3 linked regions of the Tamandua tetradactyla genome follow. The protein of the gene in region 2 purifies or fractionates together with the protein of the main gene of each other region. This does not show direct contact. Links are inferred from orthologs where the notes say so. Each region holds a gene or a part of one and is shown on either strand. Other genes may lie near its edges.

Region 1 (3,749 bases), on a different chromosome or scaffold from region 2:
GGGGAATTTGATTTCTTGTTCTGGATGGCAGCTATGTGCATGAGTTCACTGTGCAATAACTGAGCTGTGCACTTAAAATTTATGTGCTAACTTCAATAAAGACAGAAGCAAGGTTATGAACACTGGTTATATTAGGCCACTTTCTGGTGGAAAGGAGGCAAGAACATATATAAATGTTTTTAAAAGAACAGTATCTCAAGGCAAACACCAAGCAGTTGGAAACAAAGGCTGTTTTGGAGAACTGGATGGATGTAGTAGGGGAGGGAAACTGCTTCTCAGTATATATTCTTTCCTACTTTGGATTTGTGCTAGCTATCCAAAATAAAATGAAACTATGCTAAAGTAGTCAACTTTTAATCAAATTATCCACAAGAGTAACATAAAAGAGGAACCACACTCTAGTGGGAGTGGTGGAGGAAGTAAGGAACAGAAACACTAGGAAAGGAACGGAGAACACCAACACCATGTACATTAAAATAGTGTAGACTACCTAAAGTGTCAGTTAATCCTAAACCTCATTTTACAATTATCATTTACGGGGTGTCTACTATGTGTCTAGTGCAATACATATATTATTACTAATCTTCACAATCCTGCAAAATAGGCATTCATCACCATTTTAGATTATGCTCAGGAATTATGTACCCAAAGTTATCAAAATAATAAGCAGTAAAGCTTAGATCTGAACTAAATTTGTGCTCTTCTCTATGAGAACTACAGGCAATTTCACAACTCAGAGGTTGTATTTCATCCTCAGGGAAAAAAAAACTAAAAGAAAATATATTAACAGTGACCTTTCTTTGTTCTTATTGGTAAAAGAAAAACTTGAGAGATGTCTAAGTGCAAAAGCACATAAATTCAAGAGCTGCAGATTATCTAGTAAAAATTTATTTCAAATTTTTGGATTTTTAAAAACAAATTAAGAAAATAAAGACACAAAAGTAATGTACTGTTTAGGCAAAAAATCAATCAAGTGAATTTACAATGATCTAAACTGTTTAAAAACTGCAACACTTTTTACAAATAAAATTTCTTGTTCTAATATATTTTATGCAAAAGCAAGGCCCAAATATGACATTCACTCCCAAAATTTACTACCATGAAAATATAAGTTGTATTTGGCTGACTCTGGGAAACTAAAGTTTTCCATATACCCACGAGGAAGGGAAGTGTGTTTTCTGGCCTTACCCGACAAAACCACACCCAGACTGAATGATTGAGCACTCAATCGTTGAATTTGAATCAGTAAACAAGTGTGTCATTAGTCTTAAGAGTTATTTCTAAACAGACTATTAACTAAAGCTGCTCCTTTTAAAATTTTTTTTTTAATTCCGCAATATAAAATGGTAAGTCTTGGCAGTTACCAGAAAGGGTTTAGACTCACTCAGCTTACTATTTTTTGAGCAATAGTTTCTACTCGGAGCTCAATTCCATAGATAATAATAGTCAGAATAATTAAAGAAGAATGCCTTCCACCGTGCTGCAGAAATTTGATACTCTTAATACATTTTGAGTTAACTAGATGCCCGATGTGTGATAACAAGAAAACAGGTATCTGAGGTTCTACTAGCTGTTCTAACACTAACCTTAAAAAAAGTCAACATTGGCATGACTCAGTTTACACTTATGCAAAAATACTAGTATTTACCTCATAGGGGTAATGAAAGATATAATTAGGGTCTGCATGCATTTTTTAGGTCACAAGATTAAAGGCTGCTTCTCAAGGGCACTGCATGCATTTTTACTAGATACGGGAATATTACACTTAACAAATATCTGTAAAGAGTGACTTCCCAGCATAATGTAAGTAATTGCCTGCAGGCAAGATTTTCTTCAGGAGTATCCAGAAGGCGATATCTGTAAAGAAATCTTTTGGATGAGAACTCATTAACTATTAAAAAATGCCCTGTCGTCCACTTCGGAGCGCCGCTGGGATGGTAAGCAGTTTCCATTCGGTTACCAAAGCTGACGTTCTCAACTCTCAAACTGTCAGATCGAGAGACCTGGAACTACCCTTTTCCCGCTCTTTGGAAAGAAAGACTCTCTGGACACTTAGGCTGGTTGGGCCTTGGGTGGAAAAACAAACGTGGAGAAAAATGACAAGAAGGAAAAAAAACAAATACAAACGGTTGAAATACAGGCAAGAGGAGGGGCCGGCGGCTGAAAACACCCAGGCCCACACCAGGTAGTGCCTGAATTAAGAAAACGACCGTACAAAAGAAAGTCTGGGAAGACCCAGGACGCTGAGACTGTAATGCCGACAACCCGGAACCCCCTGCGACACCCCTGACAGTCTTGTCGTCTGGACCTTTGTCCGGGTCCGCCAGCCAGTTCCGCCGCGTCTCCCCGGATCTCCCAGGTCGCTTCGCACGACGCTGCCGTAGGGGACCGCCTACGCATCCCTGGAGTTCGCCGCCCGCCCCTTAGCTGGCCGGCCTCGGCCGGACATACTAACCGGCTGGTAGACGCCATCTTCACGGCCACCACGGCTCCAGGAACAACAACAACCGAACAGAGAACAGGAAGAGATTGTGGCGAGAAGACGCGAGGAGTCAGGCTTTTATAGGCGAGTCACTTACGCAGTCGTAACTGGGCGCGGCTACGGGTCGGGAGAAAGGCCAAGAATATAAGCTCCCATACGCCACGTGCTTTGAGCTTTTTAAATGTTCTCTTCTGTTTCTGAATTGTACTTTGTTGATGGGCGAGTTAATAAAACTGTCTAGGGAAACGTCCTTGAAAAACGGCTGCCCCAGAGCTACCCTCAACGGATGTTAAAACATGAAGAAAACCCCGACGTCATTGTGAGAACAAAGCCCATACCATCGAGGGTTAACCGCTCCTCGGGAGTCAGTTACTCCAGTTTGAGTAAACTTCTTGCTTGCCTTGAGGGCTGATTCTTTTTCACAAAGGAATTTGGAGTGAAAAGAGAAATTCACGTAGATCGGCTGTCCATTCTGGCTGTGCTGTCGGCTAACATGCTGTGCTTTCTTAGGCACGTCCCTTGCCCCATCAGTGCAAGGGGTAATAATATCCGCCTTGCATACCCTTTTAGAGTTGGCAGGACATTAAACAAAAGCACGTGAGAACATTCTGCAGAGCATGAGGGGAGGATATATGGACTCTTCCCTGATCGTTTTTCATGGTCTTTAAAAAATTTGGCTCATAGCTGAAGTATGGAGAACTTGGTACACCTTCTAGATAACACAGAGGGTTCCTATATTTACTAATTAGCCAAACTAAAGTCTGAATACCAGTTTGCTGGGAACGCACCACCCTGGTTCCTCTGGTGATTGGAGGAGAGAGGATGCTATGTGGTTTCTGTTGGGAAAAGGACTTAGAATATAGTAACCGCCTTATTCATTTGGGGATGAGACTTAAATGCCACTGAATACTCCTTGTTTTCTTGAGAAGGTGGGAGAAACTTCCTTAGGAAAAAAGAAGTGTAGGGTGGGGGCAGTTTAGGAACTGAAATCTAGACGGGGATGGGGGAGCATGATTTCTTTTGTTCCAGTTTTCCATTCTGTAATTTAAAAACATGACTGACTCGTGAGGTTTTGTTTTTTTCTTCCATAGTGATTGAGAAAGTTTTAAAAATGTCAATCCATTTCAGCTGAGCCAAGCACCACCAGGAAAGGGTTTGAAGGTGTTCTCCAATTCGGTAAGGAGTTTTCACGGTAGAGTAGCTTGGCTCTGGAGAAAAGGAGAGAGACAAAGGGAAGGAGGGTGGCTAGACTTCCTCTTGAGAATCA
Region 2 (3,749 bases):
CGGTCATCCGGACAAAACAAGTGCATCTCCACTCCTGGCACCAGAAGAGATCGGGTGAGTTGCTGCCCACAGCCTCGCACACTGCAAGCCCAGGAAAGGCCACAGGACCAGAGGAATTAGCAAGTATCAGCAGCGAAATGACAAGTACCTGGGTCAGAGTGACAATCACATCCCTGACCACCTGGCCAGGACCTCACTGGTGTAAACAGACATCCACCAACCAGTACCAGCTACCCAACAGAGGCACTGGATAACTACAGGACACCTCCCCCAGTTCTTTCCCTCATTCTATTAAACTTATGATCCCTGAATGCCAGGTAGGACATGGCATAGGTCACCACAAATGGGGGTGGAGGGAGCTAACCTTGATCACTTCTCAACTCATCAGCACTGAAATGCAGTAGGTACTTCCTACCTTTCCAGAGTGGAATTTGGGGGCTTGCTAAGCATTCACCAACTGTAGTCAGCTAAATTAGTCATGTGGCTTATGGCAACAGATTAAGGTCAGCATCATTCTGCAGAAAAGTTGCTGGAACTGTGACATGCCAGAGTAAGCACCGTGAGGGACTTAAGAAAATATTATGAAACTTGCCCAAAGAGCCCCACTGAGCACAGCCCCTGAGCACCTCTGCCCTGGAACTTACGATTTAATTATGTTTCCTAGTGTGTGGTCTTCTTTGTTGATGGTAAACAAACAGGCATTGGGTACTTTGGTGTCCTTGTTAATGGTGATTCTGGGAAGAGACAGAGGCAACAAATGAGGGGCCAAGACCCTTCCTCCTGCCCCGACCGCCTCGCCAGTTCTAAATCCTGCCCATCAAAGCAGGCCTAAGTCCCTCCACTTCCTGGAAGCTTTCTGGGTCTGTTCATTCCATCAAGTCCCGCTGACCCTGAGCAGCACTGTGTCTATATTTTGATCCCATAGACATCCTGACTGTGGGATCCCTGCCTTACTCTGAACCGCTCCTTTTCTCCACAGCAGGGTTTCTCAGTCTCGCATCGTGACACTTCAGACTCTGCCATTCTTTGTTGCAGGGGGCTGTCCTGTACACTGTAGGGTCTGTAGCAGCATCCCTGGCCTCCATCCACTGAGTGCCAGTAACAGCCCCCCATGTGACAACTTCAAAAGTTTCCAAACATTACCTAATGTCTCCTGGGGCACAAAATGACTTACAGTCAAGAACCTCTGCTCTAAAGCCAAGTTGAAGTGGCTGGTGACAGCAAGGATTAGAGAATCCTGTATACCAGGCTTTTTCTTTTGTATGCTGTATGGTGGAGGTAACTTTTCATTCTTTTTCCATGTGACTATCCTGTTATTGCAGCACCATTTGTTGAATCTTTTTTCCCGGGGGGGGGGGGGGGGGGGGGGGGGGGGGGGCGGGGGGGAGTGCAAACCCAGTTGTCAAACCCTGGCAGGCAAGAATGCTACCACTAAACAACCTTTGCACCCCTCTTTCTAATTTTTTTAGGGTAAGAAGAGTCAATATTTAATGAGCGTCTTCCATGTACTGAGCTCTAGGTTAAGCTATTTACACAAATTACCTCATTTACTCTTTCCTGAGAGAAATACCAACAATTAATTAGAATAAAAGCCCATTTTACAGCTGTGAAAAATGAGCCTCAGAGAAATCAAGTCACTCTTCCAAAAATACAGTCAGTCAGTGGAGGATCCAGGAGGCAAGCCCAGGCTGTATAACCACTCAACTACATTTTCCCTCAATCTGCAGGCAACGAGGAGTCACTGAAGGGTTTCACACAGGCGCCCATCTGATCGGATATTAGTTTTAAACCTATCCCTGTGGCAGCAGCAAGGAGGATGGAGATGGCAAACTGGGAGACGAGGGAGGAGGCTGTCAGATCCCTGAGGAAAAGGACTGGGGGTGTCAAGCCTTCTGGGTTCGTCTACAGACCCCGCCACTTGCTATGTGTCCGGGGCGGGTAATTCAACTACTCTGAGCCTCAGTGAACTCTGCAAAACGGGTACTCCCCACTGCCTCAAGTTTGACCTATACAGGCGCAAAGCGCTTGGCTTGGCAGACCCTCCAGAAAAAGCGCCGCGCAGGGGAACCCCCAGTTCCGCAGGATCTGGTCCAGGGGTCCGCGAACCTCGGCCTTGTCCCTGCCTCCCCAAACTCCGCACCCGGCCCGCTCCACTTACTTCTTCTCGCCTTCGAAGAGCAGGAACGACTCGAAGGCTGGAGGGGCGTTCATCCTAACGCCGGGACCGCTGCCAGACTCGCAGCGGCAGCTACGTCCGCCTCCACAGCGCTACGACGCGACCTCTTCCGGTTCCGCGTCTGCTTCCGGGTTACGTCGCCGGTGCCAGACCCGCGTAAGGACTAGGCTAGGCTCCACTGCCCCCTGGCGGCTGGAGGTCCGTGCCCAGGAGCGAGGGAGGCCCGCAGGAGGGAGGGCGGCCGGTGGCTCTGCGCATGCGTAAATCTGGAAGGTGCACTATGTCCGCTTCCCTGCGGGGGAGTGTGTTGCTTGCTGCGAGGCTGAGGAGAGCGCTGGAACTAGAGACAGCCTCGTCCGGACTGAGCTGGGACCACCCGCCCCCCGAATTGGGCCTCTCTGGGTTCCCCATGCCCTTTGATCTCTCTTTGAAAATGCTCCCTTAGAGTATGGAGCAGGAGAACCAAGCCATAGGGTAGTGGCCCCTGGAGTGGCGGCAGCCGTGCAGCGCTGAAGGGGCCTCCTGGGCTGCATCCCGTCAGCCCGGCGGTGGTGTGCGGATAAACCCGCTGCCGAGGCTGCTCGGGCCGGCTGCTGCAAGCCCCCTGGCCCAGCCGGCACTGGCTGCCAATGTTTGGGCTGATGGCCCAGTGAGCGTTATGTTGGCAGAGACGGTTTGGGCAGGAGGCAGGTGGACATGGGCGCGGGAGAGCAGCGCGGGTTGGGTAAGTGTATCTACCCTGCTGGGATTCGCTGTATTTTTGCAGAGTACAGCTTGTAAAGGTCCTGCCTGGGCTGTTGAAAGCACAGGTACTGGGTTTGCAGGTTAGCTGTTGGAGCCCTGATATCTTCCCAGCTGTTTCTCCAGGGCAGGGCAGCAGCCTGGGACCCCAAGGAAATCTGGAGCTTCCACTACCCGGCTCCCTGGAAGGGCCTGTTCTAGTTTGCTAGCTGCCAGAATGCAATATACCAGAAACGGAATGGCTTTTTAAAAGGGGAATTTAATAAGTTGCTAGTTTACAGTTCTAAGGCTGAGAAAATGTCCCAATTAAAGCAAGTCTAGAGAAATGTCCAATCTAAGGCCTCCAGGGAAAGATACCTTGGTTCAAAAAGGCCGATGAAGTTCAGGGTTTCTCTCTCAAGTGAGAAGGCACATGGTAAGCATTATTCTGATACAAATCCCAGATAGATCGTTTATCCATAAGTATTTCTAAAAGACAAGAACTCTTACAAGCCAATAACCACACTACCCTACCACACCTTAAAAGAAAATAGGAGTAAGTCTTTAACATCCTATCAGCCAGGATTCAAATTTCTAATTAACTAGAGCACTTTTTATATCTCATTTCTCAACATGTTGGTTTTATTGAAATTTGCCACTGTACCTCAAGTCTCTTTGACTCTATTGGGTCTCCTTTCAGCTCCTTTTCTTTTTTTCTTCTTTCAATTGGAATTGATTTTAAACATCCCATTTTAACGCTGAGCTGGATGCCTAGTTCAAAATCCCATGTGTCATGGTTATGTGACCTTGACCAAATTGTCACTTCTAGCCTGTGGTAGTTAGATTCAGGTGT
Region 3 (3,749 bases), on a different chromosome or scaffold from region 2:
TATACATTATACAATAAAAAAAATTTAAAAAGAAAAACAAAAAAAACCTCCCGTTGCATCTTTTCAGTATTCCAGGACCATCTTAAAGATGAGAAACAAAAACAAAACAACCCTTTAGAGTACTTCCACTGGGCAAGACAAGTAGCAACTATAGCAAGGGTTTTAATAAGACAAATTATTTCTTCACTGAAAATCTTCCAAAAAGTGGAAAACTAACAGTCATTTTTTCCTTTTCTAATGTCCCATTTGTCAAAAATACTGGTGCAACACAACTCACTGAGAAGATTGGAATGCTCCCATCCCAAGTGTGGCTGGGGCATTTCTCTTTAGGACTGCAGTCCCCCAAATTCAGTAATTAAAATCTCTTCATCGCACGGAGACAGAGCAACCGGCGGCCTTCGAGAAAACACTGCTCCGGTCCCGCAGGCCATCTTTTCTCCCGGATGGCAGGCCTGGCCCAAGCCCTGCAATAGGGTGGTCGCCGGGTCCTCACCGTGCCGCGCTCGAGCGCGGATAAAAGCTCAGACTGAGTGCGGAGGCATCCAGGGGAAGCCATTTCTCCCTACCACTATCCGCTGCGGGGTTCGGGCCCCACCGCTTCACGAAGCCTGGCTTGTCCACGGCGCAGGGTCCTGCCTCACAGCCCACCCACTGTCCCCGGCAGCCGGGGACTTCCCGGCGCCTATACTTACCAGTCGGCCCTCTAGCCGTCCGAGCGCCCTCCTTCACCTCCTCCCGCCGCGTAGGCCGCTCGCCGGTCCCGCCCCGGCCGGCTCCGTCTCCCCGCCCCCTCCGGCGCTACGCGAAGGGAGGCGGAGCCTGGCGGAGAGACGCCAGCGCCGGTCTCCGATTTTCAGACGACGTATCCCAATGGCTGACGGGGCCTCGCCGCTACCAGCTGGCCGCAGGGCCCGAGCTTCCGGCACTTCTCGAAAGGCCGCAGGTAAGAACGAAAACCGCTTCCCATGTTTGGACCTTGAGAACAGGGCCCTGACAGTTTCCGACCGACGCGCACGGGGCTTCCCGAACCCAGGGGAGAGGGTCTGCGGGACCGAGAGACGGACAGCTTCCCTTGTTCCTGAGTGTTCCAAGATTTTTCCTACAGGCACACACCAGTGTTCCGGGATTTTTTCCCCTCGTGGGCTTTGGCCCCAGCTGTAGAGGTGCTGGGAGCCTAGCGCTGGCGCTCGCCGGGCTGTGTGCAGCTGGCTTCGGCCCCCAGACCTATCTTCCTGGCAGACGTGCTGCAACTTTCCTACTCGGGTTCCCTGAATTGTGGGAACGTCCCCTCTTCCCCCAGGGAGCGAGCATTTAGAGGATGGAGAGAGAGTTCTCCAGAACTCAGATTTTCAAGAGTGCTTAACTAAGCAACTCTGATACAGTGAAAATTCAATCCCTAAAAAGATAGTTTTAACTAAGAAAAATTAGGGAATAAATTAAGTTTAAAAAAGAACAAAAAAAATTTGGACTACATTCCCATATCTTACAAACAAGATTGGAAATGAAATGTGTAGAAAAATAGGAAAGATAGTCTGGTGTGTTTGAGTTCTGTAAGTACGAGTCTGACCTGTACTTAGTGTGTTTGTGCATACTTGGCCCACTATGTTTGTTTTTTTTTTTTTTTTTTAAATACAGGATCTAAACTGACAAGTGCTTTGAAACAAGAAGATGCTTCTAAAAGGTATGAGAACTACTTGGGCAACTACATTCACTTATCTATATATCTCATATTAATTGACATTTTTTAAAACAGTGAGTGCTCCCATAGAGAAAATTGTTATGAGGAAAGATGCCAGCCTGGGAAACACTGTAAATTCCCACATTCATTATTATATCCCTCTACTCCAGGCTTCAAGAAAACCAAATCTGAAACTTTTACGTTGATGACTGAGATATCAGTGTATGTAGAAAGATGTCTATGAAACATCTTAACCAGGTACTCCTTTTATTGGTACACCAGGGAGTCACTGTCCAAATTTCTCTCCTTATTATTCCAAGAAGCCTTTTCTGTTCTTTTTTTACATCAAGTCTGGATTTTTGTAACAAAGTTGTCATGTACTGTGTCTTGGCTTCTCCTCAAAAACACAAGGGATTATCACCTGTAATAAAAGGTTTCTAGAATAGTAGTAGTCTATGATGATGATGATAAAAATATATATCTATCATTTCTTTCTTTGAGAAGACTCACTAAGTTGTATTGTCTTTTAGGCTTCATTTATTCATTTATTTAAGCATTCATTCATGTTAGGCGCTGCTGTTATGATGTTGAATAAACAGTTCCTAGCTAGTGGAAGAGAGTGATACCAATTAAATGATCACAGATAAATAGATAATTACAAATTGTGTTAAGTGCTATCAAAAGAAAAGACTATGATGTTAGAATGAATGAAGAATGAAAGTCCATTTTAGCCAAAGGTTGGTGGGGAGAGTGGCTGTAGGTTTTTTGAGAAAAAGTTTCTCTGAGGGCGTGATAAGCTGAGATAAAGTTAAACAAAGAAAACACAAGTGAGGAGAGACTTCTAGGCTGAGGTGACAGTATTTCTGAAACCCTGAGATGAGAAAGTGCTTGACCAGTTAAAAAAAAGAGGCAAGATAGCTGGGGTAGTCTGAGCAGAGAAGGAAAGGGGCTAGGAAAAGGGGAGAGAGGCAGGATCCTGTTCATATAGTATCTGGAAGCCATGGTAAGAAATTATATTATTGTTCTAAATGCAAATGAGAAAACTGTGTAACAGAGTGATGTGATTCAAGTTTTTGTGTTTAAAATTTTATTGTGGTAGCATAAATTTTATCTTTAAGAAATGTAAGATTTGCAATTTTAGCTACTTTAAGTGTTCAATTCAATGACATTAATTACATTTTCCAGATTATGCTACAGCACCACTATCTTTTACCAGAATTTTTCATCACCCAAAACAAGAAGGTCTGTACCCATTAAGCAATAATTTCCCCATTCTTACTTGGTGCTCTAGTTTGCTAGCTGCTAGAATGCAACACACCAGAGATGGATTGGCTTTTAATAAAAGGGGATTTATTTCGTTAGTTCTTCAGAGGAAAGGCAGCTAACTTTCATTTGAGGTTCTTTCTTACATGGGACGGCTCAGAATGATCTCTGCTGGCCTTCTCTCCAGGCCTCTGGGTACCAACAACTTTCCCCGGGGTGATTCCTTTCTGCATCTCCAAAGGCCTGGACTGAGCCGCAGTTGCTGAGATGAGGTGTGCTGAGCTGCTTGGGCTGTGCTACGTTGAGCTTTCTCATTTAAGCACCAACCAATTAAGTCAAACATCATTCATTGCAGCAGGCATGCCTAGCCGACTGCAGATGTAATCAGCAACACGTACCATTGGCTCATGGTCACAGCAACAGAGCTAGGTGCCTTCACCTGGCCAAGTTGACAACTGAATCTAACTACCACACTTGGTAAACCACTATTCTGCTTTCTGTCTCTGAAATCATACAATAATTGTCCTTTTGTTTCTGGCTTATTTCACTTGGTATAATATTTTCAAGGTTTGTCCATGTGGTAGCATACATTAGAACTTCATTCTTTTTTATGACTATAATATTTCATTGTATGTATATACCACATTTGGTTTATCCCTTCAGCTGTTGGTGTAAACTTTGGTTGCCTTCATCTTTGGTGGTTGTGAAAAATGGTGTAATAAACATTGGTATACTGATATCTGTTTGAGTTCTTGCCTTCAGTTATTTGGGTATACACTATACCTAGAAGTGAAATTGTGGGACATAT

The links.
Region 1: the proteins of POLR2J (region 2) and GTF2B purify together in Homo sapiens (affinity purification with mass spectrometry; 3 studies listed by BioGRID and IntAct, with this or other methods). This does not show direct contact. The link is inferred for Tamandua tetradactyla from reciprocal best matches to the Homo sapiens genes POLR2J and GTF2B.
Region 3: the proteins of POLR2J (region 2) and RPAP2 purify together in Homo sapiens (affinity purification with mass spectrometry; 5 studies listed by BioGRID and IntAct, with this or other methods). This does not show direct contact. The link is inferred for Tamandua tetradactyla from reciprocal best matches to the Homo sapiens genes POLR2J and RPAP2.

Annotation. Positions count from the first base shown.
Region 1 is NC_135337.1:35,877,036-35,880,784, reverse strand, and holds the start of GTF2B (transcription initiation factor IIB), read right to left. Parts: upstream 2,595-3,749; 5' UTR 2,473-2,594; coding exon 2,456-2,472; exon of another isoform or gene 1,999-2,455; intron 1-1,998. UniProt on the Homo sapiens protein: General transcription factor that plays a role in transcription initiation by RNA polymerase II (Pol II). Involved in the pre-initiation complex (PIC) formation and Pol II recruitment at promoter DNA.
Region 2 is NC_135349.1:10,165,673-10,169,421, forward strand, and holds the start of POLR2J (DNA-directed RNA polymerase II subunit RPB11-a), read right to left. Parts: upstream 2,309-3,749; 5' UTR 2,212-2,308; coding exon 2,159-2,211; intron 816-2,158; exon of another isoform or gene 735-815; coding exon 645-734; exon of another isoform or gene 1-644. UniProt on the Homo sapiens protein: Core component of RNA polymerase II (Pol II), a DNA-dependent RNA polymerase which synthesizes mRNA precursors and many functional non-coding RNAs using the four ribonucleoside triphosphates as substrates.
Region 3 is NC_135337.1:32,018,446-32,022,194, reverse strand, and holds the start of RPAP2 (putative RNA polymerase II subunit B1 CTD phosphatase RPAP2), read left to right. Parts: upstream 1-753; 5' UTR 754-870; coding exon 871-943; intron 944-1,635; coding exon 1,636-1,681; intron 1,682-2,863; coding exon 2,864-2,920; intron 2,921-3,749.